Linked DNA regions of Caenorhabditis elegans. The main gene of each other region encodes a partner of the protein of the gene in region 3 in a complex. Each region holds a gene or a part of one and is shown on either strand. Other genes may lie near its edges. The genes, in order: mdt-15, let-49, mdt-31 and mdt-1.2.

Region 1 (6,066 bases), on a different chromosome or scaffold from region 3:
ACAACAACAACTGAATCCATTCCACGAAGACTCGATTTTCTTTTTTGTACAGGTTTTGTGCAACTGAGCAATTCAATTCAGACGAGGCGGAGTTTAGAACGGATTTGACCTGAAAATTAGAAAACATTGATTGAGAAGAAAACAGTTTGTTTAAAAAAAACTGTCTTCTAATTTTTTTAAAGGTTTGCGTTTTTAAAGAGTACTGTAATTTTAAAATCATGTTTCAAATCATATTAATTGTGTTTTCATTGTCAAATTCGGGTATTTTTTTTAGATTGACAGGTATATATTTTTTTAATCAAAAAACGATGAAAAAATAGAGTACTCTTTAAAGACGCACATATTTTCGCATTTGACCAACATTTTTCGTGTCGAGACCGGTTACCGTAATTTTGGTGAAAAATCGTAAACTTTCGCGTTTGAGTAATACTTTTTGTAAAGTTATTACAAAAATTAAAACTTTCCGGAATTTTTTCACTTCCAACTTTATTTTATAATGTTTTTCATATTTTTTATTATTTTACAAAAATAAACATTGAATAACAAAACTTTTAGTGAGCAGGCACAAAAAAAGAAACTTAATGCACTCTACCTAACTTACAAGTTAAGATTATCGTAGAAGAAATCGTTGCCCACGTTGAAAGCGACGTCTAGACCACCGCTTGTCTGGTTTTGGTATTGATTCACTTGTTCTTCCTGTAGAAAATTATAAATTTAAAATTCAATTTGAAGTGCAATTTTCATAAATTTCCCTTTCTCAGCGAAAGAACTTACCCAAGCATTCAAATAGTCAGTAATTGACGAAAGACCGGGTCGTGATAATCTCTCATATACTGAATTTTGTAGATCATCATACAAATATGCATCCAAATCAATGACTGCTCGATCTACAGTCACATTTCCAGCTGGATAAGTGGTTGGAACAACGAGTCGAAGTGGTGGGAACTGTTGATTACGGATTTTACAGACGACAATGATATGATTGGCATCATGACGTTGATGGTTTGGATCAATCTCGAATCGAGCATCAAGGATTTGAAGTTCCTTTCTTGCTGTTTCATTGAGATTTGATCGTTGAACTGGTGGACCAGCCTGAATATTTATTGATTGAGATTATTGATTGGCTGTTGATTTTTTTTTTGTAAAAATAGATTTTTTGGTAATCTTGTTGGTTTTTTCGGACCAAAAAAAGAAAAAAAAACTGAATTGCGAAAATGTTGATTTTTAGTCGGGAGAAGAAAAAATACGAAAATGTTTTGTTTTTGGTCTAAAATGTTTTTGGTGTCCCTGTTTGAGATCAGAGGTTTTTCGTTTTTCGATTTTTTTTTTCGTGTTTTCGGCGACACAATTATTTTTCACTTTTTTCAAAAATCATTTGAGGATACTTTGTGTGTTTTTTTTTTTTGAAAGCTGAGAAACTCAATTTTTAATATAAAACTTACATTCATCGAATTCTGCCCGACGTGCAATGTTGGCTGAAGTGCATCAATCGGCGTTGGGTTTGGAAGGAAATCATCATAGTTCAGATCATCAAGTCCTGACATTCCACCCATTGATCCAGGTGTTCCCATTTTTTGATTCGGTGTACCCATTGGATTCATTGAAGGGGCTCCAGAACTTGGACCTGACATACTTGATCCACTCATCGAATTACGATCTCTTCCAATTGGTCCAGGACCATTTGGCATTCTCATATTGTTTCTCATCGCTGCAGGATTCGGGTATGGAGCATGACGATGATTGTTGACTGGTGATGTCATCGGATCGTGTCCCATATCTCCACGATACATTCCATGAACTGGACCACCTCCACCCTGCATCATCATATGATCCTGTGGCATCATTCGTTGCTGCTGTTGGTGTTGCTGTTGATGCCACATTGGTGGTTGATGCATTTGCATATGTGGTGGTGGAGGTCCCATATACTGCTGATGTCCATAACCTGGATGTCCTCCGTAGGGATTTGGCACCTGACCATTACCCAACATAGCATGTTCACCGTTCATCATCGGATCGTTCATTCCCATATGATTCTGATTCTGTGACATTGGAGCAATATTCAAGAAGTCTTGCTTTCTGGCAATCCACATCTCCAAATGGTTCAAGTATTCAAGGCTAACCACACGTTTTCCTTCGAGCACACTGAGCATAACCTCAAGCTTGTGAGCAGCTTCATGGTTACCCTCATGTCTGCATTGCCTTGCTCGTGTTCTCAAACTGTCGCAGCTTCCACGCATATTTCTCAATTTCGCAGAATACACGGTTTGATCCTCGGAACTCATCATTCCCTGGTTTGGAACCATTCCGGGTCGTTGCTGTTGCTGCTGTTGTTGTTGTTGTTGCTGTTGTTGGGCAGCTGCACGTTGAGCAGCAACATTTCGATCTCCAGGTGGGCCCATCTGATTGTGATGTCCTGGATATTGTTGAGGCTGATTGATAAGTGATTCAAGAACTGATGAAGGACCGGTTGGAGTGGCTCCTTGACCGTTCATTGGTCTTCCAGGATATCCATGTGGTTGTTGTGGTGGCATTGCACCCCATTGTGGTTGTTGTTGATACATATGTGCTGAAGGATCCCAAGGACGAGCTTGATCCATCTGAAAAAAAAATTAATCAAAAATTGAAAAATTAGCAGATTAAAAAAAAATACATTTGAAAAATAAACTCACATCCTTTTTAATCTGCTGATTGTACGGATTTCCACCCATTGGAGCACCACTACCAGGTGGTCCATTCATCATACCGTAACCACCGTATCCATTCGGTGGTCCACCCATATTTGGAGCACCCATTTGCGGTGGTGGCTGACCCATTGCTGGTCCACCATTCATCTGGCTGCTTCCATTTGGGAATGGAACATTTGGTGCCGGCGTCGGACCTCCACCGGGTGCCTGTGATCCTGGAGTGATCTGTCCACCTGGACGAATACTTGTATCTGGTGATGGAAATGAAGCAACCGCGGCGGCAACAGCAGCAGTGGCAGAAGCTGATGGAGCAGGCAATCCTCCTGGCGGATTTGGTGCTGATGGAGTTGTTGATGCCTGTGTTGTTGCTACGGTAACAGGTGGATTTCTTGCCTGAGCTGATGTTGGTTGTGGATCTGGAGGCACAGGAGCTCGATATCCGGGTGTTCCGCCAGCCGGAGTGTTTCCTAATAGAGCTAATTGAAATTTTAGATTTTCGTTGCCACAAAAAACTACAAAAAGTTACCTGCTGTCGTACACGGCGGACTATGAAACTGTGATGGTTGTAACACGGAAGGCACTGCCGCTGATTTACTATTACAATTGATAGCATTAATCACTTTTGCGATCGTCCTCATATATTCGTCCTTCGACATACACTTTGCGAACACATATTCTTCGACCTGCCTCGCGTCACCGGGTACTGGTAAATTTGGGGCATTCTGCCGGTTTCTCGCCAACTCAGGCTCACTGAAAATTGGAAAATTTTTATATTTCGGGATTTTTTTTTCATTTTTAAAAAGAGTACAGCCTGGATACATTTGTGACATCAGCTCCTATGGTTTATAATTTACAAATACTTGGGAATTTATCAAAATTTTGAATGGAAATTTTTGGAAATTTTCAACAAAAAAAAAATTTTTTAAAATGTTTTCTCGGTTATCAAAAAAATATTCCTTTAAAAAAAGCTTACAGTCTCTGAATAACATGCTCTCGAAATTTCGGCGAAGGCCAATCCTCTTCGCTCATCTTTCTACTCTGCTCTTGTTTTTGAAATGTTGCTTTTGCAAGCGATTCAACAACCGTCGACGTCAACGTGGCGGCGGCTTTCTGAGCGTCTTGATTCACACACAATTATCGACAAGAAGGAAAATGAAGAACAAATCAAAACGACGAACGCGGCAAACGAAAAATAACGACGATTCCTGCAAAAGAAATAGAATAATGGATGGTTGAAAGTGGGGAAAAATTGTCACTTTTTGTATTATGGTGCATCGATCTATTGTGATTCAACTTTCAATTCACAAAAGATCAGGATGGAAATATCAAAAAGTTCCCCATTTTCTCACCTCTTGTTCTCGTCAATAGTCGACGAGCCGGCAAAATTTTCGGATCGCCGACGGCAAAATCACTTTTTGATTCGTTCCCCGGTTTGACCTGAAATTAGGAATTGAAAAAAATATTTAGCGATGTTGAACGAAGAAGAGATTAATAATAAAGGAATACGGATAAGGAGACGGATAAGGAGAAAAAAATAAACGGAGTTGAGAGAGATAAGATATCCCAAACGCTTGAAATTAAGAAAGAAAAACAAATAAAAATAGGCAATTATGAGATAGAGATATTCTGTAGGAGAAATGGACCAGAGAGATAAGATATTCAGAACGCTGAAAAACGTTAAATTTTTTAATGGAAGATATGTGGTGGTTAGTATTATTTGGAAGATTTGGTAAGTTTTAAAAAAACTGAAAAATGTTTGAAATTTTCAAACAAAAAGTTCACTTTCACATCAAGATGTGAATTGTCTAGGTTTGCTCCGTGCAGCATCATGTTCCGCGAGTCCATTCGGGCATAACGACGCAGGCAATTCAACGAGAACCTGGAAAATTTAAAAATTAAATGTTTTGTGTATAAAATTTTGTAAAGCAAGGGGACATACATTTCGCGTCAACGTAATTCTTCTAGTTTTTGACAAAAAAACGGCACCCGGTCTCGACACGACACTCTCTTGATGAATGTGAAAGGTGTGCGCCTTTAAAGAGTACTGTAACTCCAAACTTTAATCTCAGTCGAATTTTTAAAGATTTTTCATTGTTTTTCGATAAAAAAATATATTTATGAATTTATGGGAAAACTCAATGAAATGAAAATTTGAAATTACCGCAGTAATGAAAATTTGAAGTTACCGAACTCTTTAAAGACGCAGACCTTTCGCAGTTAACAACAATTTCTGTCGTGTCGAGACCGGGTACCGTATTTTCGGCGCAAAAATTGTAGAATTAATCACAACATTTTTTTGTTTTAAATTGCTCTAGAACGCTGAAATATGTTCTTATCTTATGGAACGTTTTACCGGTCTTATCATTCCCGAATAATTTTCATTTTCTTACAAAAAAAACGAATTCCGTTTTCCGCCTAACAAAAAATCCATTTTCGTCGCAGAGAGAAAACCAGCTCAAGTGCAAGAAATTAGGCAACCTTCCAGCACCACAACACATGTGTGAAGTGCCGGAGAGCGCGCGCGAAAAAAGACGAAAGGGAATTCGGTTAGCGCGCACTGGAAAGTAAACCAATTACACGTGTGTTGGAAGGTGTCCGTCCACAATTTTTACCTGCTTCAAGTCGAAATAGACGGCAGTATCGTCAGGTGTGAGGAATGTGATTGCTTTTCCATGTTTGCCAGCTCGACCTGAAATTTTGGAAAGAATTATCAGATGTTATCGAGAATTAAACTAGAAGTGTGGAAGATTTCAAATATTTAGCTTCAAAATTTAAGAAAAATGTGCACTTTTTTCAATTTTTAAAAGAAAAACTTCTGATTTCAAATTATGAGAGCACCAGTCAAGCTGGGAGCCTAAGATATCGTATTAGAACTTATGGGTCAAAATAAAAACACAAAAATACGACACTGCCAAGTGCAATAACAATGTGAAAAATCAACGCAAGAAGAAAAAGAAAACGAAAAGGGGGAGCAAATCATTTATCACCAAACGAGCGTGTCGACGAAGCAGCACCACCACGCGGTCGGTGAGCCAGATAGAGAGAGAGATAGAGAGAGAGGGAAAGAGCCCGAGCAACTGGCGACATTTTCTAACAGAGAGAGAGTTCGGTGCTGATTGCCTGAGCAAAGACGAAGGGCAGGTGCTGACAGGGAAATTCAGAATACCGATGGAAGCCGTATCGAAGAAGTAGAACTGGGTGCGAAACGAATGTGGAAAGTGGCGAGGATAGGGGAAAAGAAAACGAATAAGAAGAAGAAGAAGACGACGATGAAAAAGAAGAAAATGATTGATAATACCGTAGACGGACACACAAGTTAATGATGTTCAGAATAGTGTGCAAAATTGAGAGATTCTACATCGTTTGCTTATCGAAATTCTTA
Region 2 (3,486 bases), 5.9 Mb from region 3:
GTTGATGTATTATCCACTAAAAGCCCTTCTGGAGCCTCACTTTTCAGTTGAGCCAGCTCTTTCATCAGTCGTCTTGTCGCAGCATCTGACATTCCTGATGAGTGGAGGCGTCTGAAATTAGGGGTATTATGTGTTGATTCACGCAGAATTCGTATACTTCTCGAGGAGAAGAGAATTTTACAGTTTTTTTGGCTTAAATTATTGATTTTTAATCAATAATTTCTGCTCATAATTTCCAATTATAGAAAGAATAAAATCGAAAAAGCTACGTACGACTTTGCGCTTTTAATTGGCGTTTTCCTCTAAAATAAAAAAACCGAAAATTTTAGTTTTCTCATTTTCAGGTTTTTAATTTTTTGAAGAAAAAACACTGTTTTTCGAAATGAAACGTATTCCCTGAAGATAATTGTTTATGTCACACGAAAGCTGCCTAAAAAGTATAAAAAATAATTCGAAATAAAGAATGCGAATTGACGCATTTTCAACAGAACAAAGATGAAAAAACGATTGAAAAAAGTTATTTTTAAACGAAATTTTAATTACAGCATTTCAGAAGATCATCAGAGTCAAAATCATAGTTCGAAAACCCGGTAAAATAAATTAAAATGAAATTATTTAATTATTTCTTCAGTGAGATATCATGAAACTGTCTTGCTAACAAGTGTACAACACTCGGTGGTCCATCTTCTCTTGATAATAGTTCCAGCCTCGCTTTCTTTTTACTATATTCCGATCCTTCTTCCTCTTTCATTTCCACGTCATCTGAAGCTTCTGTCTCCTGAAGCATATGAAGCACTCCGTCTTGCAGTTTGACACGTGTCAGTTCCGAAGGTTGAGGTGGAGCTGGAAGCTTCCCACGGATCATTTGGAATTGGTCATCGACAACTTCTCGACCATCACGCAGATATTTTCTGGAAAAAAGGAGAAAAAATATACAAATTTAAAACTTAATTCCGATTTGACTAACTTAAAATCCTTGCAAATATCCGATAATTCTTCGATTTGTCTCTCTTGTAAAATTCGAACACTGTCGCGAGCCTGAAAAACATAGAAAAATATAGATTTTATTTCATTTTTAAAACACTTTTCTACCTGAACTGGCCGGAATTCATTGATCAAATGATGCATATTAATGAATATCGTGTGTAAATCGACCATTTTCTCCTCTCTCATTGGGTGATCGGGAGCGCGAATCAGAATTTCGACCAAATCGAAAAATGCGACTATGGCGGACCTGTTCAACTTCTTCATCTCGGTTTTCCAATTATTTTTGTTCTTGTAGAGCTCAGCAACACCGGCGTTTTTCAGAGGGCTGTAAATGAATGTTTTATTCTAGTTTTTCCCGCGTATTGAAAAAGGTTTTTGCAAAATAGGTGGGAAAATTCGGCTAGACTCAGCATGTTTTTGGTTTTTATATAGCCGCTAAAATTTCTTACGCGATGACATCATCTTCCAATCGATATTCCTCTCCGTACACCTTGAATTCCGTAAGTGGATGCGGCGGAGGTGGTGCCGAACCTGAATCTTGTTAAAGTGATGTATGAGAAATCTGTTAGAGAAATTGCGTTTTATTTCTAACAAAAAAAAATACTGTTTGCTGAATTAAAAACTGCTAGTTTCAAAATTTCAAAATTCAAACTCCTTACCATTATTGATTCGATCACTTGTATACGCCGATGCGTACTCTGGAGGATTTGGGAACGGGCTGACTGTTTGTGCACCAAAACCAGGAAGCATTTTAAATGAAAACTGAAAAAAATGAGTTGAAAACGATGAAAACAGAGCTGAAAAGGAAGGGAAGTATAATAATAAAAGAAAGAAAAATGAAAAACGTGAGAGTACGGAGGAGCGCAGTTGCATTATTTTTGAAAATTTGTTTTTTTTTCTTTTTTCTTTTTTCTATTTATTTTTGTTCTTAAACGAATTGTTTTCAGTTCAATGGACGAATTAGAAGATAATCCATGTCTTCTCGACCACCTTATTCAATCAAAAATAGCTGAAAAACATCTGCTAAGCGGGAAAATCATCACATGTGCAAAATTTGATGAAAAATACTCAAAATGTGCTGAAAACCAAATAATTGAGGAGTTTCCTGAGCATATCATTGGCTGCAAGTTGTTCAAAAAAGAAAAGGTAAAAGGTTACTCTCAAAATCGCCGACTTCAAACAACTTTCCAATTTTTCAGAAAATAATCACCGTAACATCGAGGAATTCGCTCACAATTCGCATATCTTCAAATCTGAGCGTTTTATCGAAAATTCAATGCGATTACTTTGCCACATCGTGCGTAAATTAGTAAAATAATACTGGAACAATTTCCTAATTTTCCAGAATTTGCTCTCTAATCATCGGAAATAGTGCAGAATCTTGTCACGTGTATTTTGGAAGTGTTATCGGAGAATTAATTGATTGGAAGCCACACGAAGACGAGAAGCCAATTATGAGAAAAGGACATAAAGTTCGATTTTTGACTTGGAAATAGCTTTGTTGTTGGCCGAAAAAAGAATTATACTATTCCAATTTTTAGGGAATGATCTTTTCAATTGTAACGGATTCCACACGTATTTTCACAATTTCTGATGATCGAACAATTCGAATGTGGCCAATTGATGACAGAGAAAGTGGTCCGCTTTGGTTGGTTTTCTAATACTTATTTTTAACTTTAAATTTATCGATTTCAACTAAAACAATTCAAAAAAAAATCTTCTTCACGAGGAGTACATGAGAACTGCTGCGTAAATCGACACAATTCTCCATTTTTAGCACAGTATTCGGTCATACAGCCCGTCCATTCGCCATTTGCGTGGATCCAATCAATTATAGAATCTACACGGGCGGTATCGAACAAACACTGTTCTGCTGGAAATATGATGAACGTTCGATTGATTTGCGGCAAAAGATTGCAATTCCAATTGGTGTTATTCAGAAAATCAGTAAAATAGACGATAGTACACTGGCGATCAGCTCTCAAAATGGAGATCTTTTGGAAATTCACGTGGAACAGCAATCATTGAAATCGAAAATTGTAATTTTGAAAGATGATTTGATGAATTTTGCGAATTTAAATGGGAAATTAGTGATTTTAACGGCAGATAAGTGAGTTTTTTTTTGACTAAAATTACTTTAAAAAACCTCCAAACACGAAATTTAATATTGGACTTTATTTTTTGGAAAATCCAAAAAATGCATAATGAGATACTATTTAATTCCAAGTTTGCATTTTTATACCATTTTGCACAAATTCTTCAGAAAGCCTAAATTCCTGTGAAGGCCTAAAATTATTCAATGGTCTAAAATTCGGCGACTTGGAAATTTGAACTCCTTTTCACTATTTTCTAAGAAAAAATCATACAACTCAATCATCTTACAGTGAGCTAATCCTCTTCGAATCCGATGCAATGCTCCGAATAATATTCCGATGCACAAATATAAAGCATATGACGTCATCAGATGATTCGGTAGTAGCGTGGCATCAGAACACGTGG
Region 3 (3,427 bases):
TCCTGGAGCCAAATTCTTTGTGCATGTCGTTTGGGGTGAAGAAACCATGCGAACCAGACTTCGATTGTTAATTTGAATACAGATGAAATGGTATTACATTTGAAATTATTTAGGCTAGAAGTTCGCACAGGACAGCATCAACTAATCGATGGTCATGACTTCACATCTTTCCAATTTTCCGATGAAGAAGTTCTTCGTGCTGTTCCAGTTGGATTCCCCGCTATCAAGCCCGAGGACCGTGATCTGTTCGCTGCTTCTTATCGTAGTTTCTTCATCAATTTTTTCACTTCTACAACTGAATTCCGTGCTGCTACAAGCCGGAAGAAGAAAGAGATATGCAGCAACGACGACTCTACTCTACTCGAGACAACAGCTTTCCGTAATCAGACATTTGTCAACGACGTTACAATTGTTCCCAATACAAGATTTTCGAATAGAAAGTAAAATCTTAACCTAACTTTCCAAATATTCTCTGATTTCTGTCCAGGCTTCGAAAAAATTCACGGTTCTGTAAAATGTAGGTTTCAATTTCAATAAAGTGGTGATGAAGTTTTATTTGATTTACATTTTTTATGTTTATTTTTCTTTCTTTGAAACGGTAGAAGTTGTGGAATTCTTTTCGGCTGTGTCAGCATCCGGTTTCTTCATCGTTTCCTCATCATCTTCATCCTCTGTGTCCTTTTGTCGAATATCAGCTTCATCTTCAGATTCTTCAAGCTCTTGTCCCTCATCAGGCATCATACACAAACGATGCCGTTTCCGAAGATAAAACTGCCATTGGAGAACCACTTGATCTTCTACGAATTTCGCGCTTGGTCCTGAAAATAAGTTACTATTCTTCTGATAGATTAAATAAAATTTGAACTACCGTAAGCCATCGAATCGCGAAATTGCTGACTCTGCAGTGCTTCAAGCATGTGCAGACATTGAGGAAATTTCAAGCATCTGGCATATTGAGGATCTTTCCAATAGAGAAGATATTTGAGATAGTTGACAAAATATTCTTCTTTGAAATAACCACGTTGCGCGAGAACTGGAAAATATGAAATTTGCAGGAAAAAGAGTGCATAAAAAAACAAGAAACTTAGAATAAAAATACGTTTTTCTCTATTCTCGGCTAGTGTATGTGAATAAACTCACAATTAAGATAATTTGGATTTGCAAGAGCCTGCACGAATTCACATTCAACTTCAAATCTCGTCTTTTCACTTTCTACACTCTCCATCTGCATTGTATTGTAGCCTGAAGAAAAAAAAATGGAATTCAAGCTTCGAAAAATTACAGAAATTTACAAAATTTTGATATTATGACCTTTTTTCACCTATACGGTGAAATCCGTACTACGAAATGAGTTAAATATATTATTCCAATGGAAACATACCGTATCGATTGAAACTAAAACGACCCATGCCTATAAAACCATTTTATTAGAAAAAGAAAAACAAATTTAACAGATGGTGTTCATAAAGAGCTGAGATTGTTAATAAAACAAAAGTGAAATAATCTTAGGAGATCAACTTTTAATGGGTTCAGTTTAAAAAAGTGATGTAAAACTGCACAGGAGAGGATGACATAGAGTTGGGTAAAATAGTTATATTGTTCAATAATAGAATATTCAATCTAACTCCACTTTGAGCGAAATATTACTCTCCGTATCGATCGAGACGTGACTTGGAGTGGGTGTACCTGCAGATGAACGCGGTGGACGAGCAGGACGCGCTGCAACTGTCGCAACGGTCTGAAAAATATACTGTTTCATTGAGGACTATGAGAAAAATATAGATAATAGTACCGCAAGGATTACTAGGGGTAAAAGTTTAATTTTAGTGTCACATCTCACCTCTCCAATCTTCCTTTTCATTCTGATTTTCTTCGCAGAATTCTTGTCCAGATTAGCCAACAACTCGGTGGTATCGATTTTCATGCCGTTCTGAAAAAAAACAACGTCTAGCAGTGGAGACAACGCAAAAAACTTTACATTTAGTTCTCTAGAGATTGAAGTTGGAGTAACATAGATCTCGTCATCAGGCATCCGGCGTCGTCTTATTTGGTCACAGGTAACTTGTTGTTCTTCATCGCAGGCGCGTTCCTCTGCAAGACAGCGCACAAGCCGCTTGGTTTCATCAGACGACGATTCACGAGCAATTCCAAGACGCATTGGTTCGAGAAGAATCGAACGCATTCGAGCCTGAAAAATTATCAAAAATAAAAATAAGAATATAATATATTCACTTACATAAAAATTCGCATACTCTTTACTATTGGTGACCTCATCAGACAACCCGATATGCATACGTCTGTCTCCGTCGAGGCCCTCTCTCTCGTCGTTTTTGAAGTTGAATTGTTGAGCCAGAGAGACATCAAGAGGGTAAAAGTGTTCAGCAGAAAGACGATTCAATCCAGAACGGGCTTTTTGAAGCATTTTGTGAAGATCGAATGATGCAGCAGTCGGAGGAAGAGTTGACTTGGCTGGGCAATGTACATCATTTTGATTGCATGACTTTGAGTTAACATGTAAATACCATTCAGCGACTTCTTTTGACTTGTTTATGACCATCTGTGAGAATTTTAATGTGAATTTTCATTAAACTTTATTTTCTCTATTCTGACTCACATTCTCCACAAATCTTTTAGCGTATTTCGGCGCTGTGAAGCGATGTTCATTCCAAAACTTAGTGCCCCATTCTTTTACGTCGTGAGCACGAATTACAGAGCACAACGACTCCACAATGACCATTTGCTTTTCATCTTCAGCATCATTTGGATCAAATGTTGGCATTGTTTCTGGATCCAAATCGATCTTAATCGGACGAACACGACATCCGATTTGATCCACGTTCTGAACATTTTTCAATGGGTTAATATTCTGTACAATTAATTTACCTTTCTAAACTGTCGAGCCTCGTAGTAACGCGTCAAAGTCTTGCTTCTTTCTATCATGTAACGAACATCACTGAAAAACAAAATGTAATTAAAATATGGTGTTTTTTTTTTGGTTTTCAACTAACACTTCCGTGATTGTGAGCGATGAGAGAATTTCACTGGAGTGTAGTTCTTTGTCGATTTCGGCTGCATTTTTGTGCTTTTGAACAATTTCGTTGATTTTATCTTGGATTTTTTGATAATCCGGCTTATTCTTCAGAGCTCGAATTCTAGCGGCGGCCTGCAATAATAATAATAATAATAGTAATAATAAAAATATGAGTTTTAAAAAATTTATTTTTGATCTTACTGGTCTCTCCAAGGCAGATACACGTTTGTAAAATTCTTCGGGAGTCTCATTCATATCCGGATTTTCGTTGGCGAATTTCTCATAAACTTCTTTCATGAGTTCATTTGGAATCTGCTCCGCTTCCACAATATCTTCTTGCTCCAGCTCGTCCTCTTCAGGAGCACGTCTTCCGGATTTCATGGCATCGACCGCGTT
Region 4 (5,503 bases), on a different chromosome or scaffold from region 3:
CGTTTCTTTCCACAACAGTCTCCTGTCAAATTTGTAACATATACGTAATTATGGATATAGTTTCTGTCAATAATGAATTTGTCAAAAAATCAATTTTTTGGGTTTTCATGCTTAAACAGAGTTTGTAAATTATATTAATCCCAAATTACAAAATTATGCAATCGGATTTCTCAAAAATGTTTTAAAACTTTTTAAGAAAGGTCAAAATTTCAATGATCATTAAATGAACATTGATTTCCGGCCATGTGCCACATACAAACATAAATATTGAAGATTTTAGCTGAATTGAACAGTTTTTTTTTGAAATTTTGAACTGCAATGTAAAATATTTTAAAAACTTTGAAAAGTCTCATTATGAAATTTAGTTGTTTGGGTAAACTTTCGAGGTCTTTGGGCAACTAGAGCTACTTTTATATATTTTCAGCAAGCTTACAATTGACATAATTAAAGAAAATATTGCCCAGTTTGACTATTAAAGATATTTTTGACCCTAAGTAATCAACTTTCAGTATTCATGCAAAAAACCTCTAATCATTTTTTTCTGCTTTTCAGCTCTTTGAAAAATTCAGATGGCAAATTTTAAATAATACAAATGCATATAAAACTTAATTTCAAACATTCACAACAATCAAAATGAGTATCAAATAAGGCTCAAGTATATAATAAAACAAAAACTATACAAACACATCATAAGTCAAAAATCCGTTAGAAGGAACGTCCAGCCGCATAAGTTGGAATTGGGCCCACAGTCTCCGGGTTTTCACTTCTCAACGGAACTTTGATCTTTGCCAAGTTGCAGTCACTACCCGACACGGCGTAGGTAAGCATATTTGGAATGCTCCAAGTTCTGAAATTTTCAAATGTTTTCTCTAGGATGTTCTATGGACAAAGAGTTGGCACCAAAACTGCTATTGACATTCTCAGGAACTTTGCAACAAGTCCTGCGTTTGCGTTAGTGTACGGTTTCAACTTACTCATTGAGTTTTCTGCTCAATGTTTCATCAATCTTTTCAGCAATCTGGAGGCCTGTCTGTGCATGCACAACATTCACCTTTGCCTCACAAACTCCACTATCCTGGATTACAACTGCAAATTTACTTAATATTAAACACTTTATCTATCTAGAACTCACCTTTGACCGGCGCAAATTTTGTATCAAAGGTGATTACAATTTGCTCTCTTGTCAGAAAAACGTCCATCTTGATTGCGGCAACCGTGTGCTTTTTCATACCCTGCTTCTCATAACACGCGGATATCATCGACTCCCAAAGGCTGATATGCATGGCTTCGTTGCGAAGAATTGCAATTATCTGCAATTATAATTTATTTTTATCGAGTAGTGGAATATCTGACTACATATGTTAATGATGTCTTAAATAATATTTCTACTTCTAGTATTTGAACGGACTCACAAAGTTCAATAATTCCCTGTGGCAAAAAACCGAAAGTTGCAAAATGTGTGTCCATATTATGTAAAGCATGCATTAGCATGTATGCTTATTTTCTCAAAACAAAAAAGATACTCAAATGTTTATGTTTTTGCTAATTGAATCATGAAACTGGCGCTTTTAAAATACAATCTATGTTACTACTGCTTACCTCATGAAAATCTTGCAAATGCTTCAAATAAATCTCAGTGATCACAGAGTCACCATCATTGCGCAACTGGTTCACATCGACATTGTAGAAGTGTTGAGTTTGTCCATCGCCAAACTGTGTAATCATCTGCAGGTTGTTCTCAATCTTCACCGCTCCAGTCACGTAGCGATAGCTATTTGTGAAATGCTTAACGGATGGAGTCTTTGCACTGATTGCTCCCAACTTCTTTCTAGTCGTTTCAGTAAGATTGAACCCTCTGGATAGCTTCATACAAATCACAGCGTTTGCTTCAATAGATTCTGCCCAGCCTCTGGAAATTTACAATTTTCAATAATATTAAGATGTGAATGAACTCACTTTGTGTCAAACTCTGGAAGTGTACACGGGCTATCATGCTTGGCAAACGAAAATTCAAAGTATGGCAAAACTTCGTGATCATCCTTTTGTAACTGGAAAATATGATCCTTGGAGCGAATGTTCCGAAAGTGTGGTTCCGCCAAATAATATACACGCCCTGCGCGGAGATCATTACGTGGAAGGTAGAAACTAAAATTAAAATTTTTCATTAAAAAAATAATTATAAAGTTACCCATAGTTGGATCTGTGAATTGAAGTGTAGGAAGGGTCTTGAGAGAAGTGTCCAAAAAGCATCTCGAGCATTCTCATAGCTCCCATGCAGTTTCTACGATCGTCTCTGAAAAATGGGAGTGAGTTCTAGAAGCATTATTTTTTGCTTTGCTCAAAGTCAAACAACATACCTGCTCAACAACTTATCATACGTCAACAGCATATCTGAGATTCGGTTTCGAAGCTCTGTCCACATCCCTAACTGGAGCATTCTTGTAGCTTCTGGGGAGTAGAATGAAGGCTCTTCCCAAAAACTAAGCACAACGGTTGTCACTTCACCATCGTTGACAGTAAAGTCCATGATGAGATCTTCTTGACGATTGATGGACCATCCGCGAGAAGTTTGTTTGTGCAAGCATCTGGAAATAAAAGTGAGCTATGTATTTTAATAAATTTTGAGCGATTAGAAGTTATGGCTAGGCAAATTTCAAGTGGATAACGTTGGAATATGTATAAGTTTTGTCGGACTCCAACGTACCAGGTTTCTAATTTTTTTAAAAGGAAACTAGTCTATCGAGAAACAAATGTTGTGCAGTACTTTCATTTATTTGTGAAATGTAATAATGTGTAAAGATTTCAGAGAAATTGAGTAGGTGCTCACTTTCTTAATTTTGTATATTTAGTACGCGATTATTTTCTAGCAATTGGCAGTCGGTAAACTCTTCTAGTTTTTGACAGGTTTGCGTCTCAATCTTGGATACAAGTACAATATTTTTATTACAAACTAGGGTCCGATGTGGAACTGATTTTGGTTCTTCAAGAAAACATGAAACTTGACAGTGTTTCAGAAAATTTGAAGTATATGTGGGTCTACTCCTTTTTGATTTTTTTCTTTCTTGAAGCAACAGGTGCTACGAAAAATAGATTTCCAAGTTATTAATGCTCAATCGGCAAATGAATTCTACCTTAAGAGCACTCAAAAATTATACATTTTGATGCATGTGAAAAATAGGTGCAAGGAAATGCTCTATCATTTTTAGCAGTTAAATTCTAGGTTCCAAAAAAGCCAGGTTTTTATGGCAGTTTTCTAAATTTAACGCCATTTCTCTAACTGAAAACTTACCCAAGACTCTCAGCCATAACCCGTATCTTCTCCTCCATCAGATTGTTTTCCTCGATTGGCATTTTTGTTTTCATGTACGCAATCCCGTTGAGCACGTCAATTCTACCATCAGCATCGATTGTGTTACGTTTTTCCTGCAATTCATGCATTTTTCAAATTGTCTTTCACAATAAATAAGTTTAAAGAAAATAGTTACCAACAAGTTTCGCCTCACAGCCTGCCCGAATGATGTCCATTCCATTTTTGATGCGGCTTGCCGGACCTGTTCCAATCTCATTTCCTCGTCAATATGCTCAATGTTGAGCTCTTGATTCTTCCGCTGCTCCAACAGGTAAACTTTCGTTTTCGGTGATGGAGTGGAAACCATTCTAAAATCGAAATTTAATCGAGTTGAATACAAATTTACAAATAAGAGAGGAAAGTTAACAATAAAAAATAAATATAAACAAAAAGAAATAAAAAATAAGATGTCGTCTTCAAAGGGAAGTCCGCAAAATGCCGTGATGGTGTTTGCACACTGTCTGCACACTCCTTGGATACCTTATCTCTAGCTAATGCGTGTTTGAGAGAGCGGGAGAGGAACATGGGCAATGGAGGGGAGAAGGACACAGCCAAGACATTAGAAAAGTGGTGTCATAGAACATGGAAACGATGATGAACAATTACAATTGCTAATGGAAAAAAATAAGTATGGGAATTTCGAGAAGAAGAAGAACTTGTCAAAAAAAATTTTTTTTTGCTTTTCCATGCCAGTGTTTTTCTATATTTTCAGTTCAATCCTAGGGCGAATGACAATATTTTTTAGGACCTAATGTGAATCTGGACAAGTATTTGCGGTATAGTTTTTGTTTTTATTGGGGCTTGAAAATCGTTACTAAATTGTGAAAACATCTTGATGGAAACACTCCCAATGATAGCCCATTTTGAATATGACTAAGATATTTTGCCGAGAATACTTTTGAAAATAATTTTTTCATTACAAAAAAAGTAGTTTAAAAGTGTGTTGAAAACGGTTTTGCATTTTAAAAATCACTAAATGATACTGCCACTTAAAAAAATGATTTTACACACATTTATCTTCTTTTTGTATAATACATACATATTCTTAAACAAAATTTGATAAGTTTACAAACGGTCGTACTTTTGTCATTCTACACCCTTAAATTTTTAAAATTTTTCTTCAAATAAAAAATTTATACCGTGAGATTATGCATTATTTTTACTAGGTATTTTTCAATCATCAAAGACTCCTGGCAGTTTTTTAAACTTAATTTCAAGTTGCTTAATATCAAATTTTCCCCGTTTTTTTAAGTTTCATCTAATTTATAAACAAGCTTTATATATTTTCACAACATGCCATGTTTCGGTGGGATTCCCAATGCAATCTCACAACGTTATGAACATTTTTGCTGAAAATTTCAAAAATTTCGAGAATTTTTCCACAAATCGTTCACAATTCAACAAAAAATCTGCTGATCTAAAATTTTCCCAAAACGAATATAGCATGTATCACAAATCTTTCAATGTTCTTTCATCTCTTTGTTGAACCATCTGACGAACAGGTGCTCGAACACTGTTGCGCTTTTTTCGCCTCAACAGATGTTGGACCTTCGAGGAATTGCACAACGGTGCTCTGTGTTCTCCCTCAATTTTCTGGTGGTGTAGCCGTTGTGTGCATTGACTGCGCAGCCAGACCCACCAGTTTCCTCGTCGTCGTCGTCTCTGTTTCAAGTCCAATTTATAGGGCGGGCAGGCGGCTGTGCTGCTGGTTTCGTTGTCTCGCCGTCTTCCATTCTTCGTCTCGACTGGTTGGTATTAGGTCGAATGTTTTTTTTTTTGGATTTTACAAGTTCTCTCTCATCCAATTCTTTCTTCACTCTCATATTTCAATTGGCCACTTCATTTTCGATGTTTGCACACTTGAGCGAACTTGTTTTCGAATTTATAATCTGTAAATTTTAAAGCTAACAAAATGTCGCTGAGCAGTCAACAGCCTGCAGAAAACCAACCATTCGACTTCAAATCATCACAACTTTACTGGAACTCCACAGCTGCACTCATGGAGTCTCAATTCAAAAACAGTGAGTTGATTGGATACACTGAGCTTATGAGCTCGTTTGAGCCAGAATTTCTCATTGAGGATTCCATGAATTCTCTAGAGGTTGTCCACACTGTTGCACTTTTAAATATAGAATGCCTTATTTTTGTGTCGAG

What was found.
Region 1: mdt-31 (region 3) and mdt-15 share a complex: the UniProt entries of both Caenorhabditis elegans proteins name them as parts of the mediator complex.
Region 2: mdt-31 (region 3) and let-49 share a complex: the UniProt entries of both Caenorhabditis elegans proteins name them as parts of the mediator complex.
Region 4: mdt-31 (region 3) and mdt-1.2 share a complex: the UniProt entries of both Caenorhabditis elegans proteins name them as parts of the mediator complex.

Annotation. Positions count from the first base shown.
Region 1 is NC_003281.10:5,829,625-5,835,690, forward strand, and holds mdt-15 (Mediator of RNA polymerase II transcription subunit 15), read right to left. Parts: upstream 4,122-6,066; 5' UTR 4,034-4,121; intron 3,890-4,033; 5' UTR 3,853-3,889; coding exon of another isoform or gene 3,760-3,852; 5' UTR 3,714-3,759; coding exon 3,658-3,713; intron 3,435-3,657; coding exon 3,211-3,434; intron 3,161-3,210; coding exon 2,670-3,160; intron 2,598-2,669; coding exon 1,443-2,597; intron 1,093-1,442; coding exon 775-1,092; intron 697-774; coding exon 598-696; 3' UTR 501-597; downstream 1-500. Other genes in the region: R12B2.13 (uncharacterized protein), read right to left, coding at 3,760-3,852; R12B2.6 (uncharacterized protein), read right to left, coding at 4,398-4,529. UniProt on the Caenorhabditis elegans protein: Component of the Mediator complex, a coactivator involved in regulated gene transcription of nearly all RNA polymerase II-dependent genes.
Region 2 is NC_003279.8:14,818,675-14,822,160, reverse strand, and holds let-49 (Mediator of RNA polymerase II transcription subunit 7), read right to left. Parts: upstream 1,750-3,486; 5' UTR 1,738-1,749; coding exon 1,647-1,737; intron 1,525-1,646; coding exon 1,437-1,524; intron 1,313-1,436; coding exon 1,093-1,312; intron 1,039-1,092; coding exon 968-1,038; intron 912-967; coding exon 620-911; 3' UTR 510-619; downstream 1-509. Other genes in the region: ubc-16 (Ubiquitin-conjugating enzyme E2 W), read right to left, coding at 1-92; Y54E5B.2 (WD_REPEATS_REGION domain-containing protein), read left to right, coding at 1,939-2,133, 2,187-2,284, 2,333-2,459, 2,529-2,635, 2,765-3,097, 3,372-3,486. UniProt on the Caenorhabditis elegans protein: Component of the Mediator complex, a coactivator involved in the regulated transcription of nearly all RNA polymerase II-dependent genes.
Region 3 is NC_003279.8:8,964,112-8,967,538, reverse strand, and holds mdt-31 (Mediator of RNA polymerase II transcription subunit 31), read right to left. Parts: upstream 1,426-3,427; 5' UTR 1,410-1,425; coding exon 1,382-1,409; intron 1,243-1,381; coding exon 1,141-1,242; intron 1,034-1,140; coding exon 869-1,033; intron 819-868; coding exon 577-818; 3' UTR 538-576; downstream 1-537. Other genes in the region: spd-2 (Spindle-defective protein 2), read left to right, coding at 1-66, 114-444; snpc-4 (snRNA-activating protein complex subunit 4 homolog), read right to left, coding at 1,616-1,738, 1,793-1,930, 1,979-2,188, 2,237-2,557, 2,615-2,839, 2,884-2,953, 3,009-3,163, 3,233-3,427. UniProt on the Caenorhabditis elegans protein: Component of the Mediator complex, a coactivator involved in the regulated transcription of nearly all RNA polymerase II-dependent genes.
Region 4 is NC_003284.9:17,149,676-17,155,178, reverse strand, and holds mdt-1.2 (Mediator of RNA polymerase II transcription subunit 1.2), read right to left. Parts: upstream 3,658-5,503; 5' UTR 3,657-3,657; coding exon 3,486-3,656; intron 3,424-3,485; coding exon 3,290-3,423; intron 2,586-3,289; coding exon 2,358-2,585; intron 2,294-2,357; coding exon 2,189-2,293; intron 2,146-2,188; coding exon 1,957-2,145; intron 1,910-1,956; coding exon 1,600-1,909; intron 1,311-1,599; coding exon 1,133-1,310; intron 1,087-1,132; coding exon 975-1,086; intron 848-974; coding exon 706-847; 3' UTR 532-705; downstream 1-531. Other genes in the region: T23C6.4 (Caprin-1_dimer domain-containing protein), read left to right, coding at 5,262-5,370. UniProt on the Caenorhabditis elegans protein: Component of the Mediator complex, a coactivator involved in the regulated transcription of nearly all RNA polymerase II-dependent genes.